Pelodiscus sinensis: one gene and its partner. The protein of the gene in region 2 interacts with the protein of the main gene of each other region in a biochemical or structural test. Links are inferred from orthologs where the notes say so. Each region holds a gene or a part of one and is shown on either strand. Other genes may lie near its edges.

What was found. The genes of interacting proteins can lie anywhere in the genome.
Region 1: the proteins of ESR1 (region 2) and FLII form a complex in vitro, tested with the Homo sapiens proteins (2 studies listed by BioGRID). The link is inferred for Pelodiscus sinensis from reciprocal best matches to the Homo sapiens genes ESR1 and FLII.

The regions. Positions count from the first base shown.
Region 1 is NC_134726.1:34,200,081-34,209,947, forward strand, and holds the start of FLII (protein flightless-1 homolog), read right to left. Parts: upstream 4,927-9,867; 5' UTR 4,833-4,926; coding exon 4,770-4,832; intron 2,484-4,769; coding exon 2,373-2,483; intron 1-2,372. Other genes in the region: MIEF2 (mitochondrial dynamics protein MID49), read left to right, coding at 8,992-9,138. UniProt on the Homo sapiens protein: Is a regulator of actin polymerization, required for proper myofibril organization and regulation of the length of sarcomeric thin filaments. It also plays a role in the assembly of cardiomyocyte cell adhesion complexes.
Region 2 is NC_134713.1:107,787,656-107,798,143, reverse strand, and holds the start of ESR1 (estrogen receptor), read right to left. Parts: upstream 5,017-10,488; 5' UTR 4,944-5,016; coding exon 4,919-4,943; intron 777-4,918; exon of another isoform or gene 659-776; intron 1-658.

The DNA.
Region 1 (9,867 bases), on a different chromosome or scaffold from region 2:
CCAACTCCCCGACCCTGGCGCAGGGAAGCCCCGTGCACGCCTGCCCAAAGGCCGACCCCCCCCCCCAGCGTGTGCTGGGAAACCCCATACGCGCCTCCCCAGGGCTGACTCACCCCTCCTGTACGGTGCAGGGAGCCGATGCTCCCTCCCGCAGTACGCCCGGCAGAGCAGCTAGTGCACTTCTGGAATCGCCGGGAAGCCGACACTACCTCCATTTTCACTTGAGGTAGGTAGTGGGGCTTCTCGGAGGTGGGAGGGAAATGGGGGCGGGGCAGACAGGACACCTCACGATCGACTGGTCGAGGCCTCGCGATCGACTGTTGGTGACCATGGATCTAGAGTCTAGATCATCCCTGACAGTGTGTGTCTAACTTGCCCTTAAAAATCCCCAGTGAGGGAGACTCTACAGCTCCCTCAGCAACTTATTCCAGTGTTTAACCACCCTGACAGCTAGAAAATTTCTCCTAATGTCCAACCTAAACCTCCCTTGCTGCAATTTAAGCCCATTGCCTCTCGCCCGTTATATTCAGCAAAAGCTTCCCTCTTGCAGATGCCGACGAGCAAACATGCCCCATGTCTGTCATCACTAAGGATGTTTAAATGTGGTCAATTGACTAGTCGACGGAACGTCCATTGACTAGTTGATAGGCACTTCCGCATTCCTCCTTTAAAACATGCAAGAGCCCCTGCTGGAGCTCTTGTACATTTCAAAGGAGGACTGCAGAACTCCACATACAGCCTGGGGCCAGCGGGACGGCTCGCTGACTCCGAGCTGCACACGGGCACCTGCTTTGAAACGCACAAGAAGCCACCGCCCCTTTGAAACGTGCAGAGGCGGCAGTGTCAAAGGGGCAGCCACCTCCCAGCTGATCCGTGATCCACCGATCAGCTGTGATCCATGGATTAGTCATGTGGTGATTGCCCCTTTGAAACGGTCGCCTTGGAGTTTCAAAGTGGCAGTGCTGCTGTGTGGCGCTACCGCTTTGACGTACTCTTCTCCCCACCCCTGCTTTGCTGTCCCTCCCTCCCGCCCCCCCTCCAAGGGCAGGCAGGATGAAGGGCGCCCTGAGAGTAAGGTGGTGGGGCAGGTTCTGGCATGGCCTAGGGGATAGAGAGGGGGCAGGGGGAATGTCAGCTAGTCAAAAGCCTATCCAATAAACAAATGCTTATTGGATAGTCAACTAGTCTAACATCCCTAGTCATCACACCGACATCCGGAAACCATTCACAGGAGTGAGGGGATGCACACGCTGCTGTCCTAGATGTCAGGCTAGCTGCAGGAGTCACCCGGGCAATGGGATTCACTGGGGCTTTGGTCATAGGGTTTCCGCTAAAGATGATCTATAAAGAAGAAAAAAAAACGAACGGGGATTGGAGACCGTTTTTGCTGCTTTATAGCAGACAGCAGGCCAGGAAGGAAGCGAGTTTGCTGGCACCATTAGCTATTCAGAACTGATCTACTAAGGGAGGCTCTACGGAGAACTAGTAAAGTTGACACAAATGCACTGATTCGAAGGCCTTTGGATTGCCTGATCTGAGCTCCGGAGAAGAGACAGGCCCCCCAGGACCCCAGAGCAGGTCCCCCAGCAAGCCCAGAACTGCTGAGTGAGCGACAACAGATCTCCTAGAAAGATGCCCCGCTGAAATTAAGACTTCAAGTGACGGGGAATCCACCACAGGCCTCTTCTCACAAGACAGGGAAAGCCTCGCGGCTGAGAGAGAGACAGACTGCGCAGCGCCCAGCCGAGGGGAACTCCGCTCTTGGTTTCATTCCAGCATCCCTGTCTTTGCTAAAGTTCCACCCTCAAGCCCCTGGACCAAGTCGTGAGGGCTCAGGAAAACTAAGAAGTGGGATTGATGCGCCTGGCATTTCTAGGGGACAGGGAATGGAATTTAAAGAGCCTTTGCAGGCTGTCCTTAGAGAGCGAGAAAGAAAGAGAGAGGGTGTGTGTGTGTGTGTACACCTGCAGGAATGCACTGCAGAGGAGACAGTGGGTGTAGCAGGTAGAGCACCAGTCCAAACCACAAGGGTTTTATTCCTGGCTGGGCCACTGGCCGACTCAGTGAGCTTGCGTAAGCCACGTCGCCCCCTTGTGCCTCGGTTTCCCCAGCTGTGGAATGGAGAGAACCTTTGCAAAGCTCTTGGAGAGAAGCATGGATGAAAAGCCATGGAAGAACGAGCCAGTAGAATGATCGTAGGGGCAGCTTTCAACTGGGTCTACCTGCCCCTTTGCTCTCCGTTTGAAGCCTGCCGCGGGCTCTCAACGACTCCATGCGCTCACCTGCATTATACGCACCCCTGCCCCAAAGGCAGCTTCCCAAGGAGCACCCAGCAGCCAGTCTGGGCACCGCCGGCCTCAGGCCACTCTCACCAGTTTCTGGAGGGAAGAGAGCTCCTCTGGCAGGTAGCACAGGCCGGTCCGGTTCAGCTTCAGCCATCGCAAGCTGGTCATGGACTTCACGTGGTCCGGAAAATAGCCACCCTGAGAGGCGGGAGAGAGAAAGAGCCACGCTGGGCATCCGCTGGGCAGGGAAACGGGTTTCTCATCCAGACGGGGCGGTAGGATCCTGTGCTCTTAACACCCTCCCCACACCGCAGAGGGGAACCACCCACGGCCCCTTTTCCGGGATCCCTGCCAAATGCACCAATGTGACAGGCTGTTCCAACAGCGCGGGACTTACTGTAACTAGGGATGTTAGATCCCATGTAATCGAATAGTCGTGGAACCGCAGCATTTTAGCGGTCACACGATTATTTGATAGTCCCTGGGGACTCACACCGGGGAGCCCCCCGCCGCCCCACATGGCTGCCTCTGTATCAGAGGCAGCAGCGCAGAACAGCAGCAGACCCTGTATGCAGGGGTCTGCGCTCGCCACGGATAGAGGCTGTGCCAGCATCCTACGGAGCAGCCTCTGTCTGCAGCAAACCTGGGTCTGCCGCGGGCAGCAGCCTCTCTTGCCCCCCTGCCTCCCCCACACTGCCCTGGGAGCCAATCCTGAGCGGAGCAGCGGTCGGGCAGGTTATGCAAGATTAGGGGGCTGGGAGGCAGCATGAATCCCGTGGACGGACACTCGCAGGCCCCGATTCTGCCGAGGCTCAAGCACACGTGTAGCTTCATTCACAGGAGTTTGCTCCTCCCACGAGGGTGTTGTGCCCCAGTGTCGGTCACTGTGCGAGCCTGGCCTTAGCAGGCGTTTTGCTACCGCTGGTGGAAGGTTTCTAACTAGCAGCCTCCCCATCCAGGGAGAGGAGGGGCAGGCAGACCCACGCACCTGCAGGAAAGGGCCTTTCTCCCATGCAAAAAGATTAACCCAGATTGTGCAACTGCATTTGAAGGGCCTGTTTAGCGGCAGGTTTCACAACCCCCACAGCCACATCGCAGAGATAAACCCTGCGCCACCCCAAACCATACCAACGCGGGCCCACCGGCATGCGCCGCGCCCAAGGGCCATTCCTCGGATCAACAGCCTTCTAGGGCAGATCTGCCAACGCTGCCATGGGAGGGCTCCGGTGCTGGGGGAGGGTAATTGCAAAGGAAGAACCTGAATTTTAACCTCACAGGAGGGAGCATCTCTGCATGCCCCATCCAGGGCCGGCAGAGCGGCCATCCTGCTCCTCAGACGCGGTGCCTGGCAAGGGCCGGCATGAGCTCATTTCTCTGCCTGGCCCGGTTACAGTTTCACACACGGTAGGAGTCAGCGTGAGTGCAGCACATGGACTCATAGCTCCTTAGTGTCACAGGGAGATTATACAGGCCCAAACTGTGGGTCACGTCACAGCACCGGGCAAAGTTGGCTGAGTCACTTAAGTCACACGCAGACCAGCAAAACCACCATGGCCAAGGGCAAGCGATGGGCACAGGGAAACAGGCTGACCAGAGAGCATAGCCAAAGGACCACCAGCATCCAGCAGCACGGTCACCCCCTGGTCAGAGGTTAGGCTGGGGAAATAGATCCCAGGAGGCAAAGCAAGTGAGGGATCAGAGCAGGGTTGCATTCCCAATTCTGCCAGCGTGACCTGGGGCAAGCCCTTTCATCGCTCTAGGAGGGATTTTCTACCAGCAGCTCGCCATCTTTTTCCTTCCAAGGCCTCTTTCCCCAGAGCTATACAAACTCCATGGCCCAGCTGTGTTAGTTAGCACAACTGTTTTCCCGCATATAAAAGCCAGGGGCAGCAAGAAGGGGCCCCGGCCCCACATCTTAGGGGCTCTATGACGCTTCGTTTCTCAGGTTTCAACTTCAGTCCGGGGGTGCCCATAAACTTCAACTCCACCCAGAGTAGCTTTGGCTTTCTCGCTCGGACCCTAGAAACCTGCTGGGGTCCCCCACGCCGCGGATGGAGAAGGGCTGATTTACAGAATCCTTGCCCCTCCTCACAGGGACCAGGAGGAGATGCGATTAGTTTCAGTGCGGGGCGCCCTGAGTAAAAATGTTTCAGGGGGGCAGGCGAGTGAGTCTGGAACAGGAAAAACTTTAAAAACGACCCATAGTCTGTAGCCAGGAGGCCCATCACCCCCCAGAACCAGGGGCTCTGAAATTGCCCGGCCTCTCTGGCAACCCCCCCTGCTCTGGCCAGGCCAGCTCGGCCCCCTCCCAGCGGGATGTCAGGCCCCACAGTGCAGCCAGGGCTGAGCCACTGTCTAAAATTAGCCAGGCAGGAAACAGGCAGGGCCTAGAGGCTGGGAGCTGCCCAGCCACCTCCCTGTCTGTCGCCCAGCCCCGGGCTTTGCCCGCAGCCCAGCCCAGGGTGGGGGGGGGGCCTGCGGTACCTTGAAGTCGTTCCCACTCAGATCGACCCCCCGGATGAAGGGGAGCACCCCGGTGGCAGCCATTGCTCCGCTCCGCAGCAGCTGCAGCCAGCCGGCGGCAGGGCAGGGCGTGTTGCATTGACACCCAGCCTGCGCTCGCTCTTTTAACCCCTTCCTTGCCAGGGGCGCTGCAAGCCTCCCAGGGAGCTTTGCTTTTAAACAGCCCCCTCCGGGAGGAGACGTGATCGCAGCTGCCTGCCTCCACCCCTGTGGGGGGAGAATCCCCCTTTCTGTGGTCCTGGGGGAACCTGCCCCATTCTACCTTCATTGTTGCCTGCGGCTGAGAAGGCTTTTAAGGGGCTACTACCCCCCCCCCCGTTCTCCTGGAGCCCCCTGGAACAGTGGGAGGGCGAGAGAATGTTAATACTATTGGGAAGGATAGTGGGGCAAACTGCTAGGAAAATTACAGCCAGCTCTGGCCGATCTCAGAGGGCTTTACAAGCAAGGTCAGTATCACACAAAGGAAACTGAGGCAAGGGGCTTTCCCAAAGACAGCCCACTGGGGCTAGAACCCCACTGTAGGTCTCTCATCAAGGGTTACAGAGCCTAGGAAGGTTATCAGGTTTTAGGGTCTCACCTAGGCTTATGTAGCTGGGCCTATTGACTGTAATGCATTTAATTGTCTGCATTTAATGAAATGCATTACAGTCAATAGGCCCAGCTACATAAGTCTAGGTGAGACCCTAAAAGGGGGGCCCTGTGATCCAGGCCCGTGCCTATGTAGACAAGAGGAGACAGGTTATTAACAATAATTAATAAATATTAATAATTAATAACACAGTGCTGTCTCATTGGGGTCCCTCTCTGTATCTACCCGCTACCTCGTCTCCTACTCAGATCTTAAGCTTTTGGGGGCTGGCTGGGGCCCTCTTTTGGTTCTGTGTTTGCACAGCACTCAACCCAGTGGGCTGATCCTGTTCCAGGATTGGGGCTAGATACTCTTGCCACCTCTGAGCTACCCCAAACCCAGAACATCCAGGAAGATCCTGGGCCCATAAAACTGCACTGAACACCCGTCTCCCATTCGCAGGGCAGCTCACTCCAAAAAAGCAAGCAAAGGGTAGGGAACCTGCAGGTGACAGCTGTAGGAAGGCCCACAGGATGCAAATGCCTGCCTTAGGATCCCTGTTCCTAGTGGTGACAGGGTAGGGGGTGTCCAGGGCGGATTTCTGCACTGTCCCCCCTCCCTCGCGGAGTCTCTGTCAGCTCTGCATATAGGCCCCTCTACTACCCGGGTAGGACTAAGCGAAACCCCCAACCCCACCACATCCTCAACCCCTTCCTGCTTCTGTCCCGCTGCGCCTTTAAGGCGAAGAATTGCCGGGCTCCGCCCACGTGTGACGAAGCCGAGGCGAGGGGCGGGGCGCAATTGGCAACCGGAGGCTCTCGTTACATTTCGGAACGTTGGGACAACAGGCGGGCGCTCCTATTGGCCGCCTCGGCCCGACCGAATGTGACTGTCGCCGACGTTCGCTGGGGATCGGCCGTAGGGGAGCCGCTGCTGCAGTAACCGCGGGGCCGGCCGAGGCTTGTTCCAGCCCCCGGGGCCCGGGCCTTGCCGGGACCCGCCTTCCCCCGCCGCAACATGGCCTGACCTAGCGGGGCTCGCTGCTCAAGGTGAGTGCGGCCGCGCCGCTCCCGGCACCTGTCGGTGAGTTCCCGGGGCCTCTGGCTTAGTCTGGGGGGCAGCCTAACGAGGTGTGAGAATCTAGAGCGGGGGCCCAGTGATCCAGGCCCGGAGGAGGGGCGACACAGCTGGGGGGCCTGATCCAGGTTCAGTAGGGGAGGCACAACTGAGGGGGTTCCTGTAATCCAGGCTTGATAGGGCGGCACAGCTGAGAGGGGGGCCCTGTGATCCAGGCCCGGTGAGGGGCGGCACAGCTGAGAGGGGGGCCCTGTGATCCGGGCCTGGGGGGGAGCACAGCTGGGGCAGCTTTCTGTGATCCAGGCCGCTGTCTACGTGCTATCTTTTGTTTTTTACAGCAAGGGCACGTGTGGGGAGAGCAAAGTCCAGTTCCTCCTCCGTAGCTGCGCAGGTTGGGCTGGTGTCACAAGGGGATGGGGCGCGTTGAGTTAGGGTGCGGGAGGTGGGGGCAGCTTTGCTATTTCCTGTCCAGCTAAAGAAGGCCGCTGGGCATTTCTGACAGCACGTATCCAGTCCCGGCTGGGATCTGGCGTTGAGACCCTTTGGCTCTCTGGCCACACTATATCTACGGCTATCCATGGCTCCTTGTTGGCAGATACGGATACAAATTTGGTATCGAGAACCCTGCTACTTTGCCGTTATTTGCTTTATACCTATGGGTATCCACAGATGTGGGTGCGAATATCTGCAGAGCAGTTTTGCAGATGGGAATATAAATTTGGATCGGTGCTGGCCTCTGTTTATGTTTGAGGGACTAATAGACGAATTTCTACCCTCCAACCCAATTCCCTTGATGAGCCTGTTACATGTTCAGGGCCTTGTTGATTCCTTGATCCAGTTTTTGCCCTGTTGGGCCTATTTCAAACCATTCCATTATTCACTGGAAAAAACCTGAAAGCTTGAACTCCCAGCACAGCCCCGCTTGGCATTCTTGCTCGTGAGAGTTGTGTGCGGCTGTACCAGAGCGCCTGCTGGGGCAATAGGTATGCCTCCCAGTAGAGGTGTGACTGGGGAACTGGTTACCCAGTACGTGGGAGCAGCCTGATGTGCACAGAGGGGCTGCTGTAGCCCCGTGGAGGGCCCGGGAGCTGGAACCAGCCTTCCCACACTTGGGGCTGTTGGTCCTTGCCCATTGGAGCGTGTATTCTGAAACAGAAACTATAGCTGGGAAGTAGATTTTGAGCTCTTAATTCCCGGAGACTGTAGCCCCTAAGAAGCTGTTCCCATAGTGACATGGTGAAACTGAGTCATACTGGGATCATTACTCATGAGAGGTCTCTGCCATGTGAGGAAAGGACACAGATGAAGTGTGGGTTTCAAACTCTAGAAGTCTGAGCTGCCGTGTTCACTGTGCACTGTCCCGATGCCGCAGGGGTCTAAGAATTTGGCTGTGGCCCATTTGCTGCCAAGCATCAGTGGGGAAGAATCGCGCCTGGCCTGAGAAGTGACGTGCATGGTGGTCTCTTCTGTGGGCCGTGCGTGAATAATGCATAGCGGCTTGGGAAGAAACGGATTGTAAGTTTGCACTGTTAAACTGAGAGGAGGGATAAAGCTGGGTGGAAGTAGGACCAGACGGCTCCTTGATTGCTGGGGCTGTGAGGTGTTCACACCCTTGTTTTGTTCACTGGCTGATGGCAGCAGAATCTCCATGCAAAGGGATGTGTGAGGTGCCTTTACCTTGAATGGACTTGAAGCTCCTTGAGTTATCTTACACCGTGCCCACAGTGCATTTGTATGGGAGCCCCGTTTGATGCTCTGTAATTCCCTGTGTCCTTTCATCTGGAGCTTCATGACCCACGGGGTTATTTTTCCCATCTTGCAGATGGGGAAACAGAGTCACAGAGGTCACGTGACTTGATCGTGGCACAGCAGAGTATCACTAGTGGTCTGGAAGAGAACCTTGGATTCTGAACTCCCGGCCTCCTGCTTGGGCTACCGACTTCAAACTGACAAACTTGTCTAGAAACTGAATTCAAGCCCCATCTCAGTCAATTAATTTTCCATCACAAGTCAGAAAACCCTGTTGCACTAAATAATCTCCCTTTTTTTTTAGTGTCATTGTCTCTGTCACATTTACAGGGCAGGGTTCAGTAATTTGTGGGGGATACAATGTAGCAGAAACGTGTGAAATGGAAAACTTCTCTGATCACCAAGTGTTGGTTATTGAGACTGTTCTAACAACTTGAAGGCAGTTCTAGGTTGGGGGGAGGAAGGCATGGAGCTCAGTGGGAAGGCCGTGATAAGGAAGACGAAGGGGGAAATGGAGATGCAATTCTGTATAGCCAGGAAGGTAAGTGTGAAGAAGCTATCAAAGGGCCAAAGAGATCTTCTAGGTCCATTCCCTGCTTGGTCTCAGTTAGATTAAATGTCGCAGCTAATGGACCATCTGCTCCTTCCCCAGGGATGCTGTTCCACAAACGAGTAGATCGTTTTGGAAGGAAAATTTCCATGCTCTTCAATGTTCCCAAAGGTTCCACCAAGTCACCTTGGACCCCAGGTGCATCACCTTGTGTGTTTCTCTCTCTCTGCAGGTGGAGCATGGCTGAGCTGGTTCATAAAAGGGGGAAGAGGCGGGATGACAACGGGCTGGGTGGTGCTGTTGACTTCCTGTTGGCCAATGCCAGACTGGTGCTTGGGGTGGGCGGTGCTGCTGTGCTGGCCATCGCAACTCTGGTGGTGAAACGGGTAAGTCTGGGTTCCTCTGGAAGATAAACTAGTGTCCCTTCGGCACTCGTCAAGCTGTGACTTGTGCATGGGGGCTTCAGGGACGTAACTAACTTACTTAACAAAAGAGCTAATCTCCCAGGTTGCAAAGGAATAAGACCTTGCGATGCATGCAACACCAAAGCAGCAGACTTTCCGTCCATGTCTCTTTCCATGCAGAACTTGGCCCTTCAGGCAGGAGGGAAGGGTAGCTCAGTGGTTTGTGCATTGGTCTGCTAAACCCAGGGTTGTGAGTTCAATCCTTGAGGGGGCCATTTAGGGATCTGGGGCAAATCTGTCAGGGGTGGTATTTGGCTCTGCCATGAGGGCAGGGGATTGGACTCAATGACCTCTCCAAGGTCCCTTCTAGTTCTATGAGATAGGTATATCTCTGTATTTAAGCAGAGTAGAAGCCCTGCATGTGATACCTGTGTGGTCAAAGGTTACAAAACCTGTTGGGTGTATTTTTGGGGAGGCAGGAGAATTATTACAGGGGAAAGGAAGATAAAGCATCTGGTCTCCATCATTCTTCTCAGCCCTGGACACCAAAATGTCCCTGAACTCTGCCTGTGAATGTGATTCAGCTTTGTATTAAAGGAAAAAGAACGTTTTGGCTTTCTAAACGTAACAGGGTGCAAGATTTTCTCATTTAGAACAGGGTGAATTGCTTTCAGTCAAATAGATTTAAATGACGGATTTTCAATTACGTTT
Region 2 (10,488 bases):
CTTGGCTAGTGCCACAATCCCAAACACCAAGTTACAAAACCACTCACTCAAGTTTGTCCCAGCTACTACTTCCATCATAATAAAGGGGTGACTGTTGCAAACCTGAGCAAGACATGTTAAAATCAGCTGCATAGAATTGCTTTAGAAGGTAGGGACCCAGTTGAGTATGTTTGCATAGGCCCCAATCGTGGAGTAATCAGTGCTGTTGTTACCTGAACTAGCAAAATTAAAGCTAGCCCAGGTATGTCTGCACATGCTTCTATCATACCTCCTGCATGCACTGTAAGTATATTGTAAGAAATGACGAATGCAGTTAATTAGACTTAACTAAATTCAGCATATTGTATGATGGGAAAAAATAGTACTTTTGGATACCAAGTAATCAAAAGGCCACACCACTCATGTCATTATATATAGCAGGTGTAACACCACTTCATAAGCAAATTAAATTGCAAATGTATCCTGTACATTTAGCAAATATTTAATATCACATAGTCTGATTTAAAATCCTGCAGACAATACAGCAAGCTTTCCTCTCCTCCTTAAACTAGCTAGTTGAGTGCTAACAAATAGCTAACAGAGATAATGATGTCTTAGTAGGTGTTAATTTTACCCCAAACAATAAGAATTATTACAATTTACAGCTTTAAAAACTGACCAAGGAGGATTGGATGCACCAGGATTGAAGTTGAGTGTGAACTTCCATCTGGAAAGAAGCCCTGTATGAACTCCTATCACGTTTTGCCAAGGGCGTTGTCACCGCAAAAGAAGCCAGACTGAAAGAATTCAGTCAAAAGAGATAGTCAAGTTCAGTACATATTTGTAAACTTTACCTCTCTATTACTAATAAACGACAATATAAGGCCCTGATTCAGACATAAATTTAAATATATAGTTCACTTTAAGTAGGTACTTACATCTCATTGAAATCAATGTGTCTTGGCAGAATCAAAACCCAGATTATTAAGGCAGAAAAACATGGGAAATTTAAATAGCTTTCCCAAAGGAAATTTTAGTGTAAACTATTCTGTATCCTTTTTCTATTTAAAATTGATATTAATGTATTGCTATCTGTTAATGCTTATGTGAAGCAAGTTAAACAAGCCTCCTGTATTTTCATGCTTTGGTGTTTCCATTTGAAGTGAAGATAGATTTACTTTGATTTTACTTGTCACTAGTTTTGCTGCTTGTTTATTTATACCTGCCAAACTGTTGCACATTTGTCTCCCCATTTCACATGCCCAATGGGTTGTCCTGTAGAGAACAAAATTATAGCATAATGTATTTCTTTTGCTTTATCATGTCCCTCTAGCCAGTAATGGCCACTCTGAGAAGTGCTTCCTCTATTCCTTTCCTAGCTCTCAGTGTTTCTTCTGCTAGCTCCTGCAGTCCTTGTTTCATGCATGTTCCTTGCTGCAATAAGCGATTATATTCAAATACGGTACCATGGCAGCATGCATGAAGTGTGTGTGTAGGTTGATTGTCTTGCCCCACTTTTTCTGCTCACCCTCTGCCTATAAAGGACCAATCTCAACCACAATCCTTTCTCCCCCTGTATATCTTTATATTCTCTCTGGTCCCCCGTCTCTTTCCTCTCCCCACCATCTTGACTGTCTTCTGAGAATGGTGCATGTTACTGTTCAGAGACAGCTGGACACCTATTCCTTTCTATGAGCTGCCTCTGTTCGCAGCCCTGGGTGGCACAGCAGGGCTGAGGGACTCAGTAGCAATGGGAAGGGATAGGCAAGAGAAACTGGTTGCCTCAGCAGAAGCCCAGAAGTACTCTCTAGTAGCCAGGAGGAGGAGCTGAAGGAACACTTTGCTCATTATCTGCTGCACTGCTTATGAGTGACATCTCGGCTGGCTGGAGTGAGACAGTATCAGCATAGATACCTGTGATGTTCATTCCACATGAGTGGCATTTTTCAAGTTTAAGTGAGGTGAAACCAAGAACAGAGGACAGAACATGAGGGAAAGGAAAATATTTTAGAGTTCATGCACACGTCACCTGATCCTACTCCCACTGAATTTATGGTATGGTCTAATCTCACAGCTGCAATTTTTTTTTTTTGTCTGTTTGTTTTCTAATGAAATTTTAAGTAACAGTGGAGGAGAATGGATAAGTAGCAAAGAAATTAAAATAGCAGAAAACAAGGAAGCAAGACATAAATGATAACAGATCCTCCAATTACTTACCTTTTATTTGTGATTTGTATACTGCATTATATTGCTGTTTCATGGGGAAATTGCCATATTTCTTTTAATTTGGGGGCAGGCAAGAAAGTGCTGAGATTCCACTGGGCTGAATAAGTAGAGCCATAATATTGTATAGCTGCTAATGGGACTTGTCTCGCTATTCTGGGCATGTTAATGTTAGGCCCCTGCTATGGTAAGAGCTGACACCTCCTAGAACAGGGCTACTCAACTTTGGAAGCCCCGGGGGCCACATGCTGAGGGCCACAACTTAAGTGTGGCTGTATATACATGCAAATATATATGCAAATATATGCAAATAGCTCCTTTCACACTGATGAGCATGAATACAAAGATTAAGGTAATACTACACAATGCACAGGCCCCATTTGAGTCAGTTCTGCTGATATTAATAAAATGCAATATTTACCTGATTTCCACCCATATGACAGCACTTTTAATGAGCAATGACAGTCCAGGAATTTAACTGCTAAAACACATATCAACAGAAGACCATTATATTGACTACTTTTTTGTTTTGGCTCCCATCCATTGGCCACGTATTGAGCCCCACGTAAACCCAAACTGTGCCAGACAGCACAAACAAATGGGCTTCAGGCCGCATGTGGCCTGCAGGCTGCGTGTTGAGTAGCCCTGTCCTACAAAATGCAGATCATCCTCAGTTCCTATGGAAGTCAGTGGGAGTTAAGGGCACTGAACACCAGGGAGGAATTGCTCAGGATCTTGAAGGAACAGTTTGATTTGGTTAAATACAATTAGAAATATATTTTAAAATTTTATGAACAGACATAGTTGCTTAAATGGCAAAAACTGAATACATTCCCCTTCCCAGCCTGTTCAACTTTGACACAAAGGTGTTACAATAAATTACAATTGTTCCTGACTTCGCACTCAAAATATTAGTAACTTTGCTTCCTGATGTTCACTCAAATAGTCTGTTTTGATTTTGTTTTCATTTCTGAATATCATGCACTAGCACGTGGCTGTTGTATTTGGGTTCTCAACACCACAGAGTGGAATATTTAAATAGAACAGATATCTGAATACATTGCTATCTTTCATCACATATATTGAAATGAAGGGCTGGATTAAAAAGGCAATGTTCCTCACCTATTTTTTTCCTTATTCTAAAACCTTCCATTTGTGTATGATGTCTGCTTTGTAGCTTTTGACAAGAACTCTAGTTGATCCCTTTTTCTTTACTATCTTGATGTTTCCATTTAGATTTATAAAATTTTGGGTTTATTGTTTTGGATCTTAATAAAACACCATATAAAACAACCTCTTTTCATTTAAATTTAAACAATGAGAAAATTCTATTCATATTAAGTCTGAGAATTTTCATCTTAAAAAAGAAAAAAAAATCCAAAAATTATGAGACAAACAGCCAGTTAAACAGAACTAAAATGTACAGAGACACGTTTTCTGCAGTACAGTATAGAAAAAATACTAAGAGATATGTTCATGCTTCTTATCTCTTTTCTTCTGTGAAACTGGTTCATTACATTTACTTGAGAGATGCCTTATGATTAAGTATATATCACAGCTATGCAAAAATAAATACATAAATAAAGTAACAGAAGCTCTCATGGAGGCCTTTTACCTAAAAGGGCTGCAACATGGGATGGGGCCTGATATAAAGCCCACTGAAGTCAATAAAAAGATGCCAGTTAACTTCAGTGGGTGTTGGATCAGGCTCTCACTACCAAGTTTACCTTCAAATTCTATGCAAAACCTGAAACTAATTTTCAAAATGAAAATAGTCCTTCAAAGATTATCTGTAAACTTCAAAAAGTGTGTTGAAATAATAAAGTAGTCACAGCAAAATGCTATATACATATGTGCCATGCGGGAAAACAAATATGTATCATCTCAGAAAAAAAAGTTCACAATGTGAAAAGAAGGCTCAAAATAATTAAGAGATAGTCTTTGCTTATTAAGCTGTTAATTTTGTGCCAGAAATCCTATTAAAGGAAAAGCTGGTACTCAGATAAAGACCCTCTGTTTGAGAACGGGTTAAAGAATGTACCCATAATTGAAAAGAAAGAGAAAAATATTGTTATATTTACTATTTAAATATCATATCCTGTAAATAGATTTCAGCATCTATTAGGATCAAAATGTAATATTTACATTCATTAAAGGGTACAATGTAGCCTTTGTGATTCATGAAAGTAATAAATTCATCACCCACGAAAGATGCTGTATTCCTTCTCTTTATAGATATCTACAGTATTGTGTCTTTGAAATGAATTTATTGAACCTTTTAATTATTCAGTTTAATGCAACTGGTTGAGACAGGCTCAAGAGAGCTAATAATTTCATTTATAACTGTTCTCCTAGCTGATCAGTTTTGGCTGAAAGACTCATGTGACTATGTCTGGAGCTTGAGCACAGGGTAATTTTTAGGCTATGGCAGATTTAATGCTAAATAATACTGAATAAGAGATTTTCACTGTACACTTATTCCATACTTAATGACAACATTTGGAATGCATTCCCTTGTTTTTTGCTGCTTTTTGCTGGACACGGAAAACAAAGAGACAGTAAATAAAATTGACGTTAGAAAAAGAGTTACAATAATACTTGTAAGCATTCCCATGGGCACCATGAGGTGTGCGCAGCAATGTTTTGAGTAAAAACAACATGTAAAAGTGAGCATGAGGGAAAGAAACTGAAAAAACTGAGAGCTATTTTCACTTACATTTATCCAAGAAGGCTGTTGGCATTACTTCTGGAGTGCTGTAATTGGCTGAGAAGGTCACATGACCCCCCTGAACTAAAATAGAAACTCTTCGGTAGAGGGAAACTGAAGCAGCAACAGGTCTGAGACAAAATACATGTTAAATTATATAGCACACATATTTCAGACTGGAGTGTTTAATTTCTAGGGAAAGTACAGTAAACTTCCGATAATCCGTCCGACCCAGGGGGTGCCAGATTATCAGCTATGCCGGACTATCGGAAGGGGGGGCTATGAGGGGTTTAGGGTGGGGTGGGGGGGATGCCACCCCAGACCCCTCATAGCCCCCCCTTCTAATAGTCCGGCTCTGCCCCAGGCGTCCCCAATTCAGCCGCTGCTGGTCAGTTTCAGCAGCAGCTGAATTGGGACACCTGCAGCAGAGCAGCTAGGGTGCTGCCGGGTTGGTCCGGTAGCACTGCCCCTTGGCGCTGCAAGATCAACCCGGCAGCACCTCAGTTGCTCTTGGGGTCATCTGGGGCTGAGCAGCTGGGGTGCTGCCAGGTTGGTTCCACAGCACCAAGGGGTGGCGCTACTGGACCAACCCAGCAACACCCCAGATGCTCTGCCCTAGGCGTCCCCAAGTCAGCCGTCGCTGAAACTAACAAGCGACTGACTCCGGGAAGCCCGAGGCAGAGCTGCTCTGCCCCTGGCTTCCTGGAGTCAGCCGCTGGTCAGTTTCAGCAGCAGCTGAATCGGGGATAGCTGGCGTGCTGCTGGGTTGGTCCCGCAGCGCTGAGGGGCAGCACTACAGGACCTACTGGCAGCACTCCAGCTGCTCTGCCCCCGGCTTCCCTGATTCAGCCGCTGGTCAGCTTCAGTAGCGGCTGAATCAGGGAAGCCAGGGGCAGAGCAGCTCCAATGGTCCGGCTGCCTGGAGCACTTCCGGGTTCCTGATGGTGCCGGACCATCAGGAGTGCCAGACCATCAGATGCCGGACCAATGGAGTTTTACTGTATTGTCCATTGGTTTGAAAAGGTGATCTCCAGTAGGCCAGATTACCCTTAGACTATGACTTTGATATTCCCAATATCACTCTTCTTTTCAACCCATGGGGGAAACAGTTTTCTACTATAAATTTCAGCTCACATCAGTGTATAATTGCAACTAGTGATCGCATTAACAATTTTTAAAAAATTACCAAGATCTTTTTAAAAATAGGATCTGGTTAATTTAAGCACCAAAAAAGCTTCTACTATTCTAGCTGTTTTCATTCTCTGTCTAAGGTTTTATTAACTCAGTCATATTTCTGGTATCGAAAAAGGAAGTCATAAGAAAAATAAGTATTTTCTTGAGGTAATTGACTGCACTATACAACATATGCAGCAGAGCAGTCCAGTTTTCACATTCTTTCATAAGTAAAACTTATGGTTACAAAACTACAAATTACTAAAACATGTGCCATAAATCTGCAAGTTATAAATAAAGATAAAGTGCAAAAGATCCCAAACTAACAAACTGTACTGATTCCTAACAGCTAAATGCAGATTACTTATTTTGATAAAACACTGTCTGATTTCAAGGTTAATGCTTAATTGCAACATTCAAAAAAGCAGCTTTTCCAGACACTTCATTTGAAAAGATTTAGGCAGATAATGCAATGACACAGTAGTATGAATTACTACAAATCACCTAGGTAACTTTCACATCAGGAAACTTCTTTACAATTTACTCAGGTTTCTTGCTGAGTTTTTTAGACTGATGCAGCTTCAACTTGATAAATTTCCAAGTGTCTTTTTTGTTTTATATTTCAGCCATTTATATTACTGAAGGGAGGAGGGACCCTGAGGGATACACAAAGCAAGAATGTGTAGGGGAGGGTGATCAAGCTGCCAGGGATGTCTGCTATGCTACGATGACAGGACAAGGGCAGGGGAGGATTTATTGTTTCACTGGAAAGTTCTTCACTGGGATGACCCTCACCTGACAGTTCCAAGGAAAAATATTGAAACTCCAAGCCTTTAAAAGTAAATATCCAGACAGGCTTTGGGACCAAGTAGATACGAGGAACACAAACTTTGCTCAGAGAGCCACAGAAGGAGGAAAGAGGAGGAGAGGAGCAGTAAATTAGGCTAGCCTCCCTTGCTACAGTAATATAAAATGAAATTTGCTTGAACTGTATGATCTCAGAGGAAAATTTTTAAAAATTCTATATAGATGCATCAAAGAACTAATTAGACATCTATTCTGACAATGAGAGGGTAGGGTTGGCTGGTTTTGTTTTATTTTCGGCTAACGTTTTGTAAACTACTGTAGGCCAGATTCTGATACTTTATATTAAGTAGGATTTTACTCCACTAGACATCCCCATTGCTTAGGATGAGAATTTTTATGGATTCTTATCCATGAATACAGATATCATAAACTGGTACTTTCTAATGTCACTTAAGTGAGCTCCACTTTTACCAACTCTTTACTCATAAGTATTTGAAAGGAAAAATGTGGACATTCGCTATAGGGACAGGAATAGAAGAATGTGTTTACTTCAAAAAGAATCTTCTCAAACTTCTTTGGTCTAATTTTTTCATGCCAAAACATTTTTTTCTTTATTATGAGTCAAATAAGACTATGAAAGTGTTTGTTATTATTCTGTCATGCAAAGATACCGATCACTGTCCTATCGGAGTAAACACCTAACCCTGCATCACAGAAGTCAATGGGAGTTCTCTGTTGACTTCAATAGGAGCAGGATTGGGCCCTAGCATTCCAAATAAGAGGGAGACCAACCCAGTATACTTCCCTAAGATTGAGAGGAATCTGATCAATCAGCTAAAAGCCCACCCCATGTACTATTATTAAATAAGGCCCAGACAAAAAAGGGAGCATCCTGAAGCTCTTTTTATACATGGCAAGGTTCATGTTTAACCATATTTCTGAAGAGAATGGGCAGCAAAAGTGCAGGCCCTCTGCTGGAAATGTCCTGTTACTAGTTTCCAGAAGCTTCATTCCTGGAACATGGAGTTACAGAATTCCAGAATGCATGCTGTGCTGTGGCTTTCAGATGATGAAGGCATCCTACAGGCTGTCTGAGTGAGCCTAGATGAATTAGGACTTTGTCGGTAGGAACTAGTGCCCTATAATTTCACATGAAAGTCAATGAAGAACCAGTCCAGAGAACAGAAATCAGGGATGATGTGTTCTTTTTGACAGACCCCAATCAAAAGATGGGTGGCTGCCTTCTAGATTACTACCGACCTTCTTAATGACTTTCACAAATAGTCTCTGGTAGTGTCTGCTAGAATTGTCTAACCAAGAAGTTACAAACATGTGGCTTATTGAGGCAAGAGCCATACTAACAAGAAAATATGTGACTGGTGAATAAAACAACAGATCCTAAGAGTGTAGACTAATTCAGCGATAGCTGGTCAGATTACTTCATCTGAAGGAATGATTATATTGTTAACTAAGGCCTCAAAGTCTTTCCTCTTGCTAATCAGCATCTCCTTCTAATTCTTCAGGTTAAGCTGTTCTTAGTTGACTTTCATGAAGTCTCTGACTTGTAATTGTGATGATGGAGAGAGCAGTGTCTGGCTCTGAGAAGAGCTGTGTGTGACAGAACTCAAACTTACCAATATAGTACCGACAGCTGACATCACGCGAAGAAGTCAGTCCTCACCACACTCTGCAACTGATCTAGAAAAGTTTAAGTGGAACCTCTCTCAGGAGATTCTAATTTCCCCTTCCAAATCATACTCACTATTATTTCAGAAACATCTCATGATCAAAGGCACATCTTGATGGTGACATTAGAGACTCAAATTTCCCACCTTTAACTTTTCAGCAGTGTCATCTGCCTACATTGGTGCAATTCCCAAAATGCATCACAGTAGCATGCTGAGGAATGCTAGAATATACCACTCCAATGTTAGTGTCATAGAAATCTAATTATAGCAATAAGAGAGTCAATCTTTGGAGGAAACATAGTCAAGAAAGGAAGCAGGGACAGGACTTGGAAGGTAAGGAGAGAAATATGTTCTTGAAGCGATAAGTGGAAAGGCACGGATGGTTGCTATTTGACCTGCCCTAATAATAAGTTCCATATTTTAAAATGTATTTAATAGGTAGTTGATTGACAGTATGTATCATTTAAATATAGTGCACAACTCGTAGGAGAAGAGGTGTAAGGGCCTTGAAAGTTATTTATATTCTGGCTGATTGGCTTAGTCCTCAAGCTAGTTGTCCCTGGGTAGTTTTTTCAAGTCTGGTATAGGATTTACACTTATCCCCAAACATCTGATTATATGAAGAGAATCTTTCCCAAGGCAAAAATCAATAAAACAATAAAATATTTTCAAGCCGCAAAGCAGCAAAGTTGGCTATTCCCTGACTGTTTTTAAATGCAATATTCTGATCACTCCCTGTTTACTAGATAGATAGATAGATAGATAGATAGATAGATAGATAGATAGATAGATAGATAGATAGATAGATAGATAGATAGATAGATAGATAGATAGATAGATATTCCTCACCACCAACACCCCAAAACCTAAATCATATCACTATGATTATGTTCCCAAATAAAGCAAAGTCCCTTAAAAATAGCAAAATTAGGTCAAAAGTATATCTAGAAAGAGTAATACTATATTATTAATGTAGATTAATTCAGTCTTACTTAACAATAGAATGGCCAATAACAATAACAAAAGGCTATTAAGTATTTCAGCTAATTATAATGGAATAAAACAGTCATGCTTATCCTGATTTGATTCAGAAAAGACATTCAATAGAGTGTTCTAAGTTTTTCTTTTTCAACTTAGATTGTGGATAAATGTATTTTTCCAACAACCAAAGGGAAAAAACAATTATGAACCAAATACAACCTAGGGTGCATCTACACAGCACCCTAAACTCGAAATAAGCTACACAATTTGTGCTACTCAAATTGCATATCTTATTTCAATTGAATTTTGAAATAGCTTATTTTGAAATTTGGCGTGACTACATAGGGCCAAATTTGAAAATAAAATGCTATTTCAACACATCTCTTAACCCTCATGGAATGAGAGTTACAGGGATGCCAGAATAGTGTACCCCTTATTTCAAAAAATATTTCAAAAAAATGGGAGAGTTTAAAAGACGCAACATAGTTGTTTCGGTATTCCGATAGACCCACTGTCTAGACGAACCCCTAAACTGTTAAAATTAAAAAGATGAGACAAACAGGACTGTATTCTTTCACCTCTCTTACATATAACAGTAATCAAACCAATAACTGTCTGCATAGCCATTTGAACAAACTATAATATATCTGGTGTCAAACTTGGTCTCTGTGAACATAACGATAAGCCTGTGTACAGGTGACCACCTAATTTATTTAAATTCATTCCAAATATTTCCCTTTGGATTTCCTAAAATAAGATGGCAACACATATGACTTAAAATTAATGTACATAAATGCAAAACTATTCTCATAGAGCCACTATTGTGGAAAACTAGGGTTGCCAGATAGTTTCACAAAAAATACACAGAAGGAAAAATTGGTTGCACAAAAAACAAACAAAAAGTTGTTGAGCAAAAACAAAAAAGCACAA